Rattus norvegicus: one gene and its partners. The protein of the gene in region 3 interacts with the protein of the main gene of each other region in a biochemical or structural test. Links are inferred from orthologs where the notes say so. Each region holds a gene or a part of one and is shown on either strand. Other genes may lie near its edges.

Region 1 (3,750 bases), on a different chromosome or scaffold from region 3:
TATGACCACAGCCTTCCTCTTCATCCTCATCACTCTCGGTGGAGCTCTCACCAAAGGCCCGAGGTTTCTCATAAATACAGCAGCCTGCACGGAGAGGGAGGACGCCAGTTAAGAAGGATGAAGAACATAGTGCCCGGTCAGTCTCATTTCCACCATGTATGTTCAGAAATCCTCTCTCAACCACTGTCTCCTCCTACTTCCTGGAATCCAGCTGCCTTAGCCTCCTCCCCAGGTACTCAGGTACCTATGAGTCCTGTCTCCTCAGAGAGTTGGAGGCACCTGCCTTCCATGCTGCCATGGCTCCCCCAGCCCCCACCCCCAGGCTTTGGTTCTGCAGAGTTTGACTCCCACCCAGTTTTCTTTCCAACCAAGAACTTGAGGGGCTGTAAAGCACCAGAATCAGAGATGGTGGCCGGGGCCCGCTGGACCCCCCCGCCCCCACACACACACTCACATTTCGATGAGCGGCGGCCCATATGCTCATTGTCCACAGTGTCACTTGACCACTCCACCTTCTTCTCTGGCTTCCGTTTCCGAAGTTTAATGGTTAGGCTCCGATTCTCCTGCAAAGTTAAAGAGGTATGGGCCCATCTAGCTCACTTCCTCTTGACTTTTCCCGTTTCCCATGGAACCTCCTCTTTTGTCATCTGTGGCTCAGTCAGTAGCACGCACCATGCCCCTGGAGGAGCCAGGTGCTGGGAGTCAAAAAAGGACATGTGTTTAGCCTGTTTGTGGGGAGTATGGACTCCTGTTCTCGATAACCAATAGTATGCAAGGAAGACAATTCTTAACCTAGGGTAGATGCCAGCAAATCTGCAACGCAGGACACAACGCTCCCTGTTTCCTCTTCCACATCACCCTTGGTGATATGAATAGTAGGACTGTTATTTTCCCCTTTTCCTGTGACTGATCTTTGACCTCCCTTTCCTCTCCACCCCTCTGATTCATGTTCGCTCTAAAGAGATTGAAGGCATGTAATCCAAGCATTTAGTAGCTTCTACAACTTGGTAAAGCTTTTTTCTTGTGGAAAAAAAAAGATAAAGAAAGAAAGAAAGAAAGAAAGCAAGCAGGGATGGGAAACATCTCTGTTGGTAAAGTTCTTTTTTTGCAAGCATGAAGACCTGAGTTTGATCTCCCAAAATCAAGAAAACAACAACAACAACAACAACAACAACAACAACAACAAGAAGTCAGATGTGGTGATGGTGGTGCACGTTTGTAATTCCAGTATTGGAGAAGTGGAAAAAGGCAGATCTCTTGCTAGCCAGTCTAGCCTATTTGGCCAGCTTTAAAAAAAAAAAAAAAAGATTTTGTATCAAAGAAGAAAGGAAAGAAGGAAGGAAAGAAAGAAAGAAAGAAACAAACAAACTTATGCCAGGCTTGAGAAACATTTGAGATTGACTTCAGGCTACATACATCCACACACATCAAAATAAAACAAATATCCAAAATTCTCCTCCTACAAAGAGAGCCTTCATTCTTCTCTCATCTTCAAGCCCAGGGCTCCCTAATCGTATTCACTTATTCTTTAACACCCTGGCATCTCTGGTAATAATTACTAAACAACTAAGCCCCTTTCAACCCAGACATTATTAGACCCAGCGCATCTTTCTCCCTTTGAAAGCAATTTGGTTTTGCAAAGGCTGTTTGCTCATTTGCTTCTCTCCTCTCTGATATGTCAAAATACTACCTTCACCTTATTTTCTTGTTTCCTCATTCCCTCCCTCCGCTTTAACACGCACCCATTCCATGACTATCTATTGGCGAGCACTACTGGTAAGTACTCGTTCTGCACGCTTGCCTCCAAAACCATGCTTTCTCAAATGGCGTTTCGCTTCCTTCCAGTACCTTCCTTGGTCCAGTTTCCGTTTATTACGTACACAGACCACCACCCCAAGCCGTAACACCTATACTCTAATTGTAACTGCAGATTAAACAATCCTTGACGAGTCACTTGAACCATCTGAGCCGCTCCAAGCATTTCTAGTCACTTCCGATTTTCCCAGTAAGAGTAAACCCCACAGGTCCCAGATCCCAAACCCTCCAACTTTCCAGACCCCCATCCCCCTCCCAGTGCTTCCCAGACCCCTAAACAGCCCCCCTGCCCGCGTTTCTCACGGGCTCGGTTGTCACGGTAACCGTTGTCTCAGTGACGGTCTCACTCAGCCCCCCGGCTCCTGCCTCCGCCATGGCTAAAGCGAAAAGCGAGGAACCAGGATGAGACACCCCTCCCTTTTTCTGCGCCTCTGAGATCTAAGAGAACCGGTACACGATTCGGAGTAGAGGCCAGGATGCTCTGGCTTCTTAATCTCCCCTACTCCTCCAGGGCCTCTGCTTCCCCACCCCTGGGGAAAAACCTGTCCAACCCCACTTCCGGCCTTTCACTTCCGGGTGTGACGCATCCTGCAGAACCCAGTTTCTCTTCCCCAGCACCGCTCGGGCCAAAACAGGCGTCATCAGATTAGTTCCGCCGTAATGCAATAGAGCGCAGACGCTAAGGTTAGCAGAAGCTACGTCATTGTGGGGTGGGGCCAGGCGGCCCAGGGCCTAAGTTCATTGGCCGGTCAACCCTGCAGGCACAGGGGATGAGCTCTCTGTGCCCACGACGCTTCCCCTACCTGCTGTATCCTTGAGCGTGAAAAAAATAGGTGGGACAGGGACTCTATCTCGGCCAAATTCCATTTTACTATTCTGTCGAGAAACGGTTTTCCGGGAGCAGGAAATGCACTGGGGTCTAGTCCTCTCCCTGTTTGTTGATATCTCAGTGAGGGTACACTAAACCTGAAATTATTCGACTGTAGTAGGCCCTAAGATAAAAGTGTGAAACACCCAGACTGCTGTTTAGTTCTCTGTTTGAAGAATGCAAGGGCTAGATGCAGGGGGCAGAGTGAAAAATTCAAATTCATCTGGTTAAGTTCTGTTGAATCTTTCACCATCCGTCCCAAAATTCCAGTTTTTGTTTCCTTACAATGAGAAACTAAATTTAGATAGGATATATGTATCATATGTATACCGGTTTCGCTTTTTATTTATTTTTTTTTATTGGCCTTGTGATGGTTTACATTTAGGCTTACTGTGCTTGAGAGACCAAACGTGAAAAAAGGCCTTTAATTTGTAAGCTCCTAGCTTTTACAAGTTGTACCCTGGCAGCCCACTTACCTTTTTTTTTTTTTTTTTTAACCAGACACGGGGTTTCTTTGTGTATAGCCCTAGCCTCGATTAGTAGACCAGGCTGTCCTCAAACTCAGATTCATCTACTTATGCCTCCCCATGTACTGAGATTAAAGGCCTACACTACCACCACCCAATACATTATTATTCTGTTTTTTAAATTTTATATTTTTGCTTATTCACTTTATATCCTGCTCACTGTGTCCCTCTCACAACCCTTCTCCCATCCCCTCACCCCTTTTCCTCTGAGCTGGTGGGAGCCCTCCTGGGTATCCCACCCTGGCATTCAAGCTAGGTGCCTTCCATCCCATTGAGGCTAGACAAGGCGGTCCAGCTAAAAGAACCTATTCCATGTACAGGTAACAGATTTTGGGGTCGCCCCCACTCGGTTGTTTGGGACCCACATGACAACCAATCTGTTACATACGTGGGGGAAGGTCTGGGTCCAGCCCACGTATGATCTTTGGTGGTTCAGATTCTGAGAGCCCTAAGGGTCCAGGTTAGTTGACTCAGTTGGTCTTCCTGTGGAGTTCCTATTCCCTTCTGGGCTTGAAATCCTTCCTCCTATTCTTCCATAAG
Region 2 (3,745 bases), on a different chromosome or scaffold from region 3:
TAGAAAGCTGGTGTCTCACCTGAGGCCGGCGCAACTCTCAGCCGGATTCACACCGTAAAGATCCGCGCGCTTCTGCCCCACCGACCAATCGTAGGCAGAGTAACAAGGGGTCAAGAACCAACCAGACACCTTGATGGGCGGGCCTCAGTGAAAGCAAGCTGCTGAGCGCGCGCAAACGGTTGCTAGGGACGCGCTGGACGTCCACTACAGTGCCTCGGAGGAGCCAAAAGAAACTGGTTTCTCCGGCCCCCTCTCACCCCTATCACGCCAAGTGACTGCAGTTCACTCCTACAGCGGAACCGAGGACGGTGAGCGACGTGCAGCCCTCCTTTTGGCGGCCACATTCTCAAGGCGAGGACGATGAGCAGAAGCGGACGATAAGGTGGTTCTCTGTGGGCCGGAGGCGGCGAACGCGCGCCCCCGAAACCGAGCCGTGGCCTCTCTCCCCTTCTCCAAGCATCCGCTAAAGGCAGCACTTGGCGCCAATATATCAGCGCGCAGGCGCGGAATAAACTGTTCTCCCTCGCCTACCTGCTCACGGTGCAGACACACAGCATTGAGGCTCCGGAAGTCGGGGCATGTCTATTCTGTTTTACCTTTGGCCTGTAGAGCTCTCCTGGCCTCAGTAACTTTACGCCTCCGAAGTCAGCACAGTGACTTGAGCGAATCTGCAAGCTTGAAGTGTCTCCCATGCTGCCTGATGACTTTCCGGGATGTCTACGTTCGCCGTGCTCGCCTAGACTCCACTCATTCATCAAACCCCTAACTCGGGGGGGGCCGGGCCCTGGGGAACTACAATTCCCATGAAACACTGCGACCACGCAAGCGTGTCAGCTCGCGCTTCTATACTTTGTTCCATTGGCTGGCCGACTGGACCTGGAATCCTGATTGGCCCATGGCCTGAGGCGACAGATTCCGGAAAGGGGAAGAGCAGCCAATATGGCGGCGGAGCGCGGCGCGGGGCAGCAACAGTCGCAGGAGATGATGGAGGGTGAGCGGCCCCTGTGGGCGACCCGGGAGCGGCGAGCTGGGGGCTGGGCGGGCACGGCCTCTAGTCGGATCGGAATTCGGCCTCCGGCCACAGCCACGAAGCTCTGACAGCTGCCAACATGGCTGGGCAGTGCCGGGGAGGCTCGGAGACGGGAACCCCGGCCCGAGAGCGGTAGCGGCCAGAAGGACCATACCCCGGGGAACAACGTGGCGCGAGCCCGCCCAGGGGGATTGGCGAGAAAGCCGTGGCTATAGGAACCTGGTCTTAAAGCTCCGAGATTGACAGGCGAGGGGGCAGGGAAACTGAGGCTTCAGGCGTGGGGACTGTAAAGTCCAGTTTGTTCACGCGGCATGGATGGAAAAGAGTCTGCTCTGGAAGCGAATGGGTTGTGGCAGAGGGTCGGGTAAAAAAGAGCTCCGGAAATTGATTTTACAAGGCGTTGTCTTATTTTTCTATAGTCTCGAAAAGACTATATTCAACTTTCTTCCTTCAGTGTGTTGGATTATGTCATCGTATACATGTGTAAATACACATGTAACACATGTATATGCTTTTGTATACAGTTGTGTAGATACGTGATCGTTACATGCATGTATGTGAGTGTATGTATTCACACAGACTTGTACATATGTACATGTACTTGCCCCACCTGCTGTAGCATTAGGCGAATCTTAAAAGCCTTTGAAAGACTCCTCTACTTCGGTGAGGATCGCTCACTTCTGGAAGATCACTCACTTTTCGGGGAAGAGTGCTAGGAAAGAGAGTTGCAGAGCAAGGGACAGGGATGTGGAAGAGAAGAGCGGTGAGTTTGAGAGCAGTGATCCCTTTCTGAGATGGGCCCTGAAAAATGACTAGACGTCACCCAGCCTGGGGTCACATGGGGAAGACCAGTATCATTCCAGAGAAAGGAAACCCAGTCAAAAGCAAAGGCGTATGGAAACATGACCTAAATAAAGTCATGCAATGGGGAGTAAGGAGAGCCAGCAAGGCTGCCCAGAGAAGTTCTTAGAGAGACTTGAAGGGAGTCATCCTAGAGGTCTTTTGTTTCTAACCTTTGACTCTTTCTTAAGTGAGGAAATGCTTCTTCTGTCCCCCTCTTCCCTCCTCCAGTACACCTCTCCCCTCCCTCCTCAGTAAAGGGCAAATACAAAAGCCAAGCTTTTCCTCTCTTCCACTCCCACACATGTCATTACCAGCTGGTACTTAGGTTTCTATGGCCCTATGTCTTTTTGGAGATTCGGAGGGTGGGAGTGTTGTTTGGTTTGGTTTGAGAGCCTGGTTTGGTTTGGCCTTGTTGTTGTTTTGTTTTGTTTTTAAAGACGGCCTGTGCGGACCAGGCAGAGCATGTTTTGCCACCTTCTCTATCACTGCTAACCTTTACTCAAGCCTTCCTCCTCTTGATAGAGTTCATTGCCTTTTTGCTAGCCTGTTATACCCAGAGCCTCACAGTCACATTCTTGCACATTATCTCAGGCTCTGGAAGCTTTCTACTGCCCTGAGGATACAGGCACAGGGTGCACCCACTCTCCCTTCTATCCTCTGGCTCCTCCTGAGGGAGGTACAGAGCCTCATTTCCCTAACCCCAGATCACAGGATGTCCTCTTGGTAACTCATAAATTCTCCTACATGCCATAGGCATGAGCTACTACTGTTGTGCCCTTTCTCATTTGGTCCTGAAAGGGGAGGGTACTCTACTAACTCTTCTACAGAGATGAATATCAAGGTTTAGAAAGGATGATCATTTGCCAAAGCCACATCTCATTGCTGCTTTGTTCATAACTCGAAATCTGTTTATTTACTCCAAAAACACTTTGCATTGTTAACTCTGCCCTGTGGTGGTTTAACACCAGCAGTTTGCTGGGAGCATCTGGCGTTTTTGAGACCATCTCATTTTCATTCATTCTGCCCACTGTCTGATTTTAGCTGGTCTTGATTTCTTTTTTTTTTTTTTTTTTTTTTTTCTTTTTTCTTTTTTTCGGAGCTGGGGGCCGAACCCCGGGCCTTGCGCTCTACCGCTGAGCTAAACCCCCAACCCTTGGTCTTGATTTCTTTTGGAATGTGGGGCCTGAAAATTGAACCAGTTTTCTTGGCCAAATGGATAGTGAGACATCAATGAGGGTATGTGGCAGAAGGGTTCCTCTTGTGGTGGACATAACGTCAGATATGAGAGCCGCCTGGAAGGAACTTCAGTACCTGGTGTCAATAGTGTTCCCAATCGTAGATGATCCAGATTTCAGAACACTTGTCAATTCTTGACAAGCTCTTAGAGGGGAAGAATGACATATTAATTGTCTTCATGTGACCTCCCAGTTTCTGTCCCTGTATCTTAAATATTATTGGATGTGGAAGACATTCAAATGTTCATAAAATGAGTTCAGCTATTTTAGAAAAAAGGCTTGCTGACTTACAACTGTTGTTAATCTCTTTTGTGTTCCTCAAATTGTCACATGAAGTAGATGTGAATTGTCACTGATGTGTGGGTTCAGTTGACAGGCGTGTTGAATCTGAAGAATCAGGTGATGAGGAAGGGAAGAAGCATGGCGGTGGCATCGTGGCAGACCTCAGCCAGCAGAGCCTGAAGGATGGGGTAGAACGGGGCGCAGAAGATCCGGAAGGTACTGGGTTTAGTTACTTTGAACTCACCCAGCAGGGCAAGGGTGCTGTTGAAGAATACTGCTCTTTGTACACGGTGTCTCCTCACGGCAGTAGTGGTTTTCCTCAAAGGGTCCCCATAGATTGGGCAAGTGGGGATGC
Region 3 (3,650 bases):
ATAGTTAGGAGACTAACAACTCTTCCAGAGGTTCTGAGTTCAACTCCCAGCAACCACATTGTGGCTCACAACCATCTGTAATGGGATCCGATGTCCTCTTCTGGTGTGTCTGAAGAGAGTAATAGTGTACTCACATACATACAATAAATAAATCTTTAAGAAAAAAAGAGAGATTTCTTGGAGCAGAGCCCATAGTGTCATCATAGGTAAAAGATATTCAATCATCTAATATCCTTTCTCCACAAAGATCCATCTCCCCCAAATCACTTGTGTAATAAGTCACCGTAATTAATTCTTGAAAGCTAGTAGTATATACAAAACAGTGAAAGAGAGAGAGAGAGAGAGAGAGAGAGAGAGAGAGAGAGAGAGAGAGAAACAGTCAAATAGTTGCCACACAAGCATGATAGCCTCTAGAACGTAGATAAGGAGGCTGGATGTGGTGGTGTGAGCCTGTAACCCAGCACTGGGGTCACAGACCCTGGAGCTCAGTGACCAACCAAGTCTGGCCTATTTGTCAAATTCTCAGCAAGTGAGAAAACCACTGAGGTTGACCTACGGTCCCCACATGCACTTGTACACATACATATACAGGCACAGGAACATGCATGCACATACTAAAATAGTTCCATTCAACATGATAAACAAAACACAAATAATTCCTCTTACCCTCTCTTAACGGACTCCAAAAATTGAGCATTTGTTGGGTCGCTGTAAGGCCTCAGTTCTCCATCATCTAAACTGAAACCATTGCTCCACAGCCTCAGTAAAATCTGAACCTTTGGAGGTACAAAAAAGAGAAGAATTCATCTCCAAGCGATGTTAAGTTTCAGTGTGGTATTTCCCAAATTACTACCTGATTGATTTATCTTAAAATATGAAGATATTTTATTCAAAGCTAAATATGTGTGCTCATGTGTTTACTTAAGAGGTTTATTTTTAGCTTAAAACACTAATAAAAGCTGCAAATATCAAAGTCCCACAGGAGGAGCCTGGCTTCTGTGCAGTTGCTCAGAGTTCACTGAGGAAACAAACAGTGAGAAGATGGACTCTGCTTGGCTCCTGTGACTCATCCACACCCAAGCTCTCCTGTTCTGCACAGCTTAAACATCAGGACAACGCGCAAGGCAGACCTTCGCAAAATCTAAAAAATTATTATTTTAACGTTCCAAAGTCAACAGAAATAATGGTTTCACTTTTTTTTTAAAACTGTACTCATTTTGTATTATGAAGGTATACAATTTTAAAAAAGAATTACAAGAATTATATATTCCTGCCACAAATAGTTATACATCTCTAAACGTAAGACATAGCAGATAGAAACAGAGTTTGGCTTCAACCCATGCTTTGAAAACGAATAAGCGAGAGTATATTTAATGTCAAGTGTTAAGTTCAGAAAGGGGGAAAAGTAGCATTAGAGGGAATGCTTGACCATTTTGGGGCGGTACATACATCTTGCAGCTGATTTTCTCCATAGATATACTCTGACCTCTTATAGAAGGAACTGCCCAGTCTGTACCCTCCACCTGTAAATGACTAAAATACACCACAAATGGGTAGAAATGGGTTAAGAGTTCTCCACGGCTGACACTCAAAATGTTATTCTTATACTTGACACATTAGACAAATAATAACTGACCAAATTCATATTGACTAGGAAAACATATTGGAATAAGACCTTGAGTTAGAAAGAAGTGTGAGAAGTTAAATATTTTCTCATAAAAACATCAGTAACTCAAAATATGAAATAACGTAGTTTGATTGCCAGAAGCCACAATGGTAGAGAGAACGGACTCTTGCAAGTTGTCCTCTGTCTGCCATATGTGTGTTGTGGACATGTGGACACATACAAATAACTGTTACAACAAAAAATTCTATATGTATTTAATAGGCTTTTAAATTTTTTAATGGTTTTAATTAAAATAGAAATTATGTCACTTTCCCCTCCAGTTCCTCCCACACCCCCATTCTCAAGTTGATAACCTTTTTTATTATTGCTACATACATGCATTGTTATATAATGTATATATACGCAAACATTATACATATATACACTGAATGTTTTTGTTAATAGTATGCATATGATTTCAAGGGTAATCACTGTATTGGACAACCAATAAAGGGCTCATCCCTGAGAGAGTTGATTTCCCTCTCCCAGCAGTCATCAGTGTCTGTAGTTCTCAGGAGTATGACCCATGAAATTCCCCCTCCATGTAAATGTGTCCATTGACACTGCCATTGACGCAGTCTAGGTTAAGCAGCCATTTCTAGGACAGAATGTTTCACAGCAGACTCCGTGGAATTCTGGTTCTTACAATCTTTTGGCCCCCTCTTCCCTGATGTTCCCTGAGTCACAGGTGCCGGGGCTGTGATGCAGATGTAGTTGTTGGGGTTGGGCTCACCACAACATATTGATCTCAGCATTTGTGCCTATTTGTTTTCTGTGATGGCCTCCATTTCAAGCCTTTTTCTAAGCTACAGTAAATTGGCTATGGTCACAATTGATTAACTACAGCAAACTGGCTATGGTCACACTTAGGATAATATGAGAACTGGCTCTTCTTTTAGTTACCATTTTCATCACAAATGCACTTTTAATTATAACCTCACTTCGTTTTACAAACTAAATCAAACCCATACTTTTCTAACAGAACTGGATAACTTAGAGGCTTGACTGCAGGAAGCTGTCCAGCTGCTGCCAAATAAAGACTAGAGTCGAGCCTCACGGAGAACAGCCATAACAGTGGGTGCCAAAAGGATCAGGAAGGCTGTGTGTAGACACCTCCTAACTTCCCAGAAACACTGTAGGTTTAAGACAGCACTGACCTTAGCTTTGTCATCACTTGAAGATCTTGTGGCTTCATTTAGAGGGACAGCCCCATGTTCCCTTGCCTCTTTGAAAAGTTCGTTCACAATTTTCCCAGTTGGAGGTTGAGCTATATGTAATCCACCATATTCCTGATCACCTGAATAAAGCCTTTAAACATCAGAGCTCATAAATACAAACGCACAATAGACATAAACTATTTAAAATAAGAAGCTACATAGCTTTATGAAATAACTTTCATTTATAAAGAAGTTCACCTAACTTCTTCAGGTGTAACCTTAAAATGAAACTCAAATGGGACAGTTTGTATCCCTTCTGAGTCTGTGCAGAGTCCAACAATTTTAGCAACATGGTAACGGGGTCCTTGCCTCCTCCCTTCACCCTGTCTGCCTAGGAAATTCTACTTTCTCAGACCACTGTCTTCTACTGCTGTGGTGAAGCACTCATCTACAGGAAGCCATTTACCAGGCACATATGATTACACAAGAAGCTTTACTCTTTGGAGATTCTTGAATTAAAAAATTGCACTACAATTCCCAGTGTAAATAATTTCATATATTCTCTGTGTAGTAACAAAGATCTCTGCCCTGACTCTAACTTAAGTGCTATGAAACATACATTTCTATCCACTTAAGATTAATATTCTTTCGATTGATTTTATTTTTGCCTAGTATACTGAGAAAATTGAATCAATGAAGAAACAGACATGCTTCCAGTATGTGCAGAGTTCATGCTTTGTTTTCCCATACTTTCTCCTCCAATTCCCAGTTCACACTCACAAAGCAATAGTGGAAACTACTACAGCCCTGAAGAAGGGGCAAAGGTA

Evidence for each region. The genes of interacting proteins can lie anywhere in the genome.
Region 1: the proteins of Ubxn2b (region 3) and Ppp1r11 form a complex in vitro, tested with the Homo sapiens proteins (2 studies listed by BioGRID). The link is inferred for Rattus norvegicus from reciprocal best matches to the Homo sapiens genes UBXN2B and PPP1R11.
Region 2: the proteins of Ubxn2b (region 3) and Ppp1r7 form a complex in vitro, tested with the Homo sapiens proteins (2 studies listed by BioGRID). The link is inferred for Rattus norvegicus from reciprocal best matches to the Homo sapiens genes UBXN2B and PPP1R7.

What each region holds. Positions count from the first base shown.
Region 1 is NC_086038.1:1,605,224-1,608,973, reverse strand, and holds the start of Ppp1r11 (E3 ubiquitin-protein ligase PPP1R11), read right to left. Parts: upstream 2,392-3,750; 5' UTR 2,191-2,391; coding exon 2,119-2,190; exon of another isoform or gene 1,814-2,118; coding exon of another isoform or gene 1,802-1,813; exon of another isoform or gene 1,752-1,801; coding exon of another isoform or gene 1,743-1,751; intron 564-1,742; coding exon 455-563; intron 85-454; coding exon 1-84. UniProt on the Homo sapiens protein: Atypical E3 ubiquitin-protein ligase which ubiquitinates TLR2 at 'Lys-754' leading to its degradation by the proteasome.
Region 2 is NC_086027.1:101,332,620-101,336,364, forward strand, and holds the start of Ppp1r7 (protein phosphatase 1 regulatory subunit 7), read left to right. Parts: upstream 1-877; 5' UTR 878-939; coding exon 940-991; intron 992-3,477; coding exon 3,478-3,606; intron 3,607-3,745. UniProt on the Homo sapiens protein: Regulatory subunit of protein phosphatase 1.
Region 3 is NC_086023.1:24,111,196-24,114,845, reverse strand, and holds part of Ubxn2b (UBX domain-containing protein 2B), read right to left. Parts: intron 2,975-3,650; coding exon 2,824-2,974; intron 1,534-2,823; coding exon 1,450-1,533; intron 777-1,449; coding exon 667-776; intron 1-666. UniProt on the Homo sapiens protein: Adapter protein required for Golgi and endoplasmic reticulum biogenesis. Involved in Golgi and endoplasmic reticulum maintenance during interphase and in their reassembly at the end of mitosis.